2 linked regions of the Danio rerio genome follow. The protein of the gene in region 1 interacts with the protein of each later gene in a biochemical or structural test. Links are inferred from orthologs where the notes say so. Each region holds a gene or a part of one and is shown on either strand. Other genes may lie near its edges. The genes, in order: dapk1 and klhl20.

Region 1 (3,836 bases):
AAATCATAGGTCTCCTCATGGTTTGTTTCTTTTTGTGAGCCAACTGACAACAGTTGCTCGCTCTCCTCTTTTTTCCCCTGCTCTGCTGGCCAAGCCCCTTCCTCCCGCAGCTCGTAAGGCTCCACGTCCATCTCAAAGCATTTTTTGAAAAAATTCTGAGGTAGACTTGAATCGAAAGATGGGGTTTTCATTGCTCTTTTTGGCTTCTTTCGCTTGGCTTCATAGCTGACTGCACGCGAGAGAAACATCAAACATTTTTTTCTTTTTAATCTAAACGAGTTCGAAAAAGTTCCTATATACTCAAAAAGGACAAAATGACTGGTCTAAACTGGCTGCAAAATATATGCACACCATAATGGTTAATCAACGCATTTTCCTTAATAATCTACAGCTTTAATCTTGTAATTATGATAGTTTTTAGAGATCTGTCCTTTTTTTATTCCTTTTTCTGACATTTTATTTATCTTTTGCTGATTATTTTATTAATTTGATGATGTTAATCTATTGCACATTGGGTGCACATGGCTCCTAAATAGCATAAAAGTAAAAGACATTGTGGATGTTTTATTTTAATTTTTTTTTTGAAGAAAAGAAAAGAAACAATGATTTAAATACACTGTTAACCATGGTTTAATGTATAGCAGTGTCATAATAAATTAAATTATTGTTAAAAATAAATTATGTTTTGTTTGTCGTATATACTTAGCTATTTATGTAATAAGGGCAAATGGTGTGTTTCAATCCAGCTACAACCACAAGTATATACCCACTGGAAAATTCTGACTTTAAGGTATTTTTATTCAACCAGCAAGTTTTTTTTTTGTTTGGACTAGAAATTATAAAAAAAAAAAAAAAAAAAAAAAAATATATATATATATATATATATATATATATATATATATATATATATATATATATATATATATATATATATATAAGCCCGAAATCATTTGTACCCCTATAAATATACACACACATACGTACATAGATACAGATACACACTTTAACACAGCAACATAGTACAAGTTCTCTTACAACCTCTTAATCACAGACTTCACAGCTTCAGGCGATGTCTGCAATTACTGTAATGAAAAGCCCTCTGAAAAGGAGGGGGAAAAAATCCATACATTTATTCTTAAGTGTCAGGACACACACTCATACCGATGTTGTCCTCTGGCAGCGTGAGAGCCTTCAGACAGTTCAGCCAGAATGTGACCTGGTTGAGCTGAGTTTCGTAGGGCTCCTCCAGGCTGAATAAGACCAGATGAATCGCTGTGGCATCATTGGCAGCGAAGTAGTCATACGAGCAATAATAGACGGGATTGCCAGAAAACTCCCATATACTGAAGTCTCCAACACCTAAAAACACACAAACTAAAATTTTAATTCTAAGTTCTGTTTAACGGAGAGAATATTTTCAACACCTTTCTGAACATAGATGTAATAACTAAGATTATTAGTCAAGACGCTAGTATTCAGCTTAAAGTGACATTTAAAGGCTTTACTAGGCTATTTATGCAAGTCATTGTATAAAAGTGGTTTAATCTGTAGACAATCAAAAAAACATTGCGTGGCGAATATGACAGAATAGACATTTATGATGCTTTAACAGACTGCTGATCTCTCGATTCATCAAAGAAGAGCTTGTTCACCGTTGACGTTGGCGTTCTGGATGTCGATGGCTTTAGTGGCAGTGTCGTCAGCCGTGGAGAGAGCATTATGAACAGGACTGAAGACTTCCAGCACTCCTTTGGTCAAACTGGGCTCAAACATCATACTGCGGCTCCGAACACTCACATTCTCACAGCCCGGGTACAGGTTAGAGATGCTCACAGACACTGCAGGAAAACAGAAAGACTCAACTCAATGGTATCTCACAGCAATTCATAACTTTTTGTATGAATTTGTTCAATCTCATTCATACAATTTAGTACAATTTCCCCCAACGATGGTTGGGTTTACGAGTGGGTTTGGTGGCATGCCTCCTTTTAAGAATCAAACATTTTCAAATGAATTCATACAATTTAGCCACTAAACTGACAAAACGCAAAACTAGTTACTATTCCTCAAGAAATCAGGCTGGTCAACTACACGGAATTTTACATGGAACCAGTTAGTTCATTATATTAATGTGTTGGTTCTGAAGGACAGTATAGCAATAAAGACATTTCAACAAAATCAGAAAAAAAGTTTGCACATACTAACAACCTACATCTAAAGCTGAGTAGATCTACTAAGTTAATCAGTTTGGTTTATACCTATGTTTTACCCATCAAGCACTTCACTCAGTTTGATTTACTCGTTCTCTTTTTAGCGGTATTAAATGATTTGCATTAAAGAAAACGTATTTAAAATCACATCCACACAAACAAATAAAGTAAGAAAGAAAAAAGATTTAGAAGAATCTGTTGAAGGTAGGATTGTATTTGGGCTTTTATATTAGAAAACAGAATTGGACATTTTTATCCTGTTTGAAAGTTTTCACCCCCTACACTGCTTTTAATGCATCGTGTTTTCTAATGGAGCATCAATGAGCCTTTGAACCTTTTCAATAGATGTGTTTGAGTCCCTCATTTGTCCTCAGTGTAAAAAAAATGGATCTAGATATCATAGTCATTGCTAGAAAGGGTTCAAATAGGCAAAAGATTCTAAAAACTGAAGAATCTGCAGAACATGGAAGGATTTTTCTGAAGGAAAGCAGATTTACTGCTCAGAAAAAAGGGACCCCCACAGTATTAAAAAACTTTTACAGGGAGTTATTATAATTTTTTAAGCTGTTTAGTATTTTGCACTATATGTTAACCTATTTTGTTAAATATCTTAGGACAGTGATAAAAAATAGTATGTTCCCTTTTTCTAATTTTTTTTATCATATTTACAGATTTTGCTTTTCATATTTACAGCAAAGTATTCACATAACATGGTATGTACACACATTTAATTCTTATACTTGATATTTTTTATGATTTATTATTATCCTTTATTGTTGTTATAATTATATTTCATTCATTTTCCTTCAGCTTAGTGCCTTTATTAATCAGGGGATGCCACAGTGAAATGAACCGCCAACTTATTCAGAATATGTTTTACACAGCCGATACCCTTATAGCCACAACCCAGTACTGGGTGAACAGTACTGGTGTACAGTTGAACACAGGGAGAGCATGCAAACTCCACACAGAAATGCCAACTGACCCAGACGGGGCTTAAACCAGTGACCTTCTTGCAGTGAGGTGATTGTGCTACCCACTGCCCCACTGTGGTATTAACACTGGCCCTATTAATAAAATTTGTATTTTCAGATTAATGAAGTAACTAAGTAAACAAGCACATTTTTTGTTCATAATGTTTTCTATAGGAAATAAAGCAGGCTATAATACAAAAGTATGGCCTGACCCCAAATTACACATTATTACTCATTTATAATAAGTTGATCAGTTTATTTATCTCTGCTTATTCAATGTGCACTCATTAAATAACAATAAAAAAAAACATATAAAAAAAATGCAAACATTAAAAAGCATTTTAAAAAATCTGAAAATGTTTATCTGGTGTCCATACAAGTTTAGAATCACTTCTAAAACAATACATTATGTTATTTGTATCGACTGAACTTCTTGGGAAGTGTTCATGTGATATAAAGAAAAAACTGAAACGTTTGACTCTTTGGAGGGAAACTTCTGGAACATTTCTGTTTATGGAACAGACTGCGTTGTTTTCAGCCTGTGGGGATGTGATGTGAAGTGACCTCACACAAGAACAAATAACTTGGACATGAAGATTCTGGAGGTGAGGTGAACTAGAGACTATACACAGCCTGAAGACACAGACAAACA
Region 2 (2,954 bases), on another chromosome or scaffold:
TAATTACATTTTTACATTTAGTCATTTAGCAGACGCTTTTATCCAAAACGACTTACAAATGAGGACAAGGAAGCAATTTACACAACTAAGAGCAACAATGAATAAGTGCTATAGGCAAGTTTCAGGTCTGTAAAGTCTAAGAAGGAAAGTATTAGTAGTATTAGTATTTTTTATTTATTTATTTTTTTTTTTGGTACAGTTAGTGTCATATTCAGAGAGGCAATTGCAGATTAGGAAGTGAAGTGGAGACTAAATAGTTGAGTTTTTAGTTGTTTCTTGAAAATAGCGAGTGACTCTGCTGTTCTGATGCAGTTAGGGAGTTCATTCCACCAACTGGGCAGATTGAGCGTGAGCGAAAGTGATTTCTTCCCTCTTTGGGATGGAACCACGAGGCGACGTTCATTCACAGAACGCAAGTTTCTGGAGGGCACATAGATCTACAGAAGTGAGAGCAGATAAGAAGGAGCGAGGCCAGAAGTCACTTTGTAGGCAAACATCAGAGCTTTGAATTTGATGCGAGAAGCAACTGGCAGCCAGTGCAAACGGACTAGCAGCGGAGTGACATGTGCTCGTTTAGGTTCATTGAAGACCACTCGTGCTGCTGCATTCTGGAGCAGTTGAAGAGGCTTGACAGAGTTAGCTGGAAGCCCAGCTAGTAGAGAGTTGCAGTAATCAGTAATTGAATTTCAGGTGTTTTAAATCAAATAGAGAATGATTAAGAACACTTTTCTTGTTGGCAGTGGAGCGCTATAACCCTCAAGAGAACCGCTGGCATACAGTGGCACCGATGGGCACTCGACGGAAACACCTAGGCTGTGCCGTGTACCAGGACATGATCTATTCAGTGGGCGGCAGAGACGACACAACAGAACTGAGCAGCGCTGAGAGATACAACCCTAGGACTAACCAGTGGTCTCCTGTGGTCGCGATGACGTCCAGAAGGAGTGGGGTATGTGAATCCTTCATCTATGTTTAACATCTTATGGAAGAATTGTCCAGCAAACAAACTCTTGTGTTTGATCTAGGTGGGCTTAGCAGTAGTAAATGGTCAGTTGATGGCAGTTGGAGGATTTGACGGAACCACGTATCTGAAAACTATAGAAGTCTACGACCCTGATGCCAACACTTGGAGGTAAATGGAGAACACTACTATTAAAGAGTTTACTAAAACAGTTTTTCTTCAGTGGATTAACACACCAAACCAATGCCAAACAACTAGCACCAATGAAACCCAACTGTGTTGTTGCCTGGATTTGGCTCGGGTCTGGAACAAAAAGCTTTCCGTGAACACACAAAAAACAAACGGCAACCGACTGATTCAAGCATGCGCAAAGGACATGTCTTTCTGCACTGCGCGGGGCTGCTGTGTCTTTTTTTTGTTCAGAACAACGTGATGCATGCATGTAAAGCGTAAACAAAAAAGGGTGTAGTACCATCATCACAGTAATTGTGGCTCACCATGGAGGGATTTGCTCCTGCAAATATGTTTCTTAATCTGATCGTTAATATCGTTTGTAAACACTTGAGAAATATTGCGAAATTACAGCCGGCCTCTTTGCCTTAATTCTTGATTAGAGTTTTGTACTTGTTGCGTCACTTTGCTACGTCATACTCGCGCTCCGATTTATTACTAAATAACCAGTCAGAGCGCTCTCTTCAGTTAAGGACCCGACGCGGATTTGACATGCTGAATCAGGCCAAGGCAACCCACCGTTAAACCAGCTAGCAGGATCGATGCTGACTAGCGAAACCCAACAGCCATTGGTTTTGGTGTGTCCTTGCATTTAGTAGCATTATCACCGTAATTGTCACTGACCATGGAGGGATTCGCTTCTGCAAATATGTCTGATAATCTAATAATCCATATCATTTGCAAATATTTGAGAAATGTAGCGAAATTACAACCGCCCACTTTTTGTTCCTTCTTGACTTGATTTTTTTTTTCACTTGCTATGTCACACTTATGCTCTGATTTGCTGTATAACCACTCAGAGTGCTCTCTGTAGCCAATGGCCCAGTGCTGAATTCGACATTCTAAATGGGACCAATGCGATCTGATGTTAATCCCGACAAGAGGCAACTTGGAGTACACACTAAACCAACTAGCCTGACCGAAGAAGCCCAATGGCCGACTGTCGGCTTGGTGTGTCCCGGCCATAAAGCCTGATTTCTACTTCTGCGTCAAGTGCACGCGAATAATCCGGCGTAGCCTTTACACAGTCGTATAGACGAGCTTTGTGATTGGTTGGCCTGGTATCGTTGATGAGTGTGACTAACCCCTAAGCCTAACAGTGTGCGCTATCAAAACAAACATTGAGTATGTTTACATGGACACCAATAATCCGATTTTAATACGATAAAGACAATACTCTGATTATGAGTAAACATCGATTATTTTTATTTATTAATATAATCAAGGTCATAATCAAACTTAACTGAAATCGAATTAAGACATGTAGAGTAGCGATTTTAGTCTCATTATTAAAGTGCAGTACAGACATGTAAACACCTTAATCAAGCCTTAATTGTGTAGGAGTTTCACCGCATTTTGCGACAGGATAGTCCATACACGCACGGCTGTTTGACACTATTCTGCACCTACCGAGTCAGTAAAGGACCACAGACACCTGCATACAGCATGAGCAGGGCTTTATTTGTGCCGAAATACGCTGGATCCGGATCTAAAATCTTCATTCTACCTATCTTCCTTCTCACCCGCTGTCCTCTCTCGTCCGCTGTTCACTTTTACTTTCTTCCGTGACTCCCAATCCTCTTCGCTTTCGTCCGCAACAGTTCCCAAATTCACAAATTAAGCACTGGGCATGAGGTATCAAATTTCATTAAAACTACACTCTTTTAGCAGTTTAAACTCAAAACCAACATCTTGTTTGTCCCGGGGCATGCATGAAATGTTCCTGACTTAAAATGAAAGTGCCAAACTGCAGTTAAAGTCC

Evidence for each region.
Region 2: the proteins of dapk1 (region 1) and klhl20 are reported together in a solved structure, tested with the Homo sapiens proteins (2 studies listed by BioGRID and IntAct, with this or other methods). The link is inferred for Danio rerio from reciprocal best matches to the Homo sapiens genes DAPK1 and KLHL20.

Annotation. Positions count from the first base shown.
Region 1 is NC_133180.1:45,657,131-45,660,966, reverse strand, and holds part of dapk1 (death-associated protein kinase 1), read right to left. Parts: intron 1,839-3,836; coding exon 1,653-1,838; intron 1,360-1,652; coding exon 1,162-1,359; intron 1-1,161. UniProt on the Homo sapiens protein: Calcium/calmodulin-dependent serine/threonine kinase involved in multiple cellular signaling pathways that trigger cell survival, apoptosis, and autophagy.
Region 2 is NC_133177.1:37,095,055-37,098,008, forward strand, and holds part of klhl20 (kelch-like protein 20), read left to right. Parts: intron 1-740; coding exon 741-949; intron 950-1,025; coding exon 1,026-1,132; intron 1,133-2,954. UniProt on the Homo sapiens protein: Substrate-specific adapter of a BCR (BTB-CUL3-RBX1) E3 ubiquitin-protein ligase complex involved in interferon response and anterograde Golgi to endosome transport.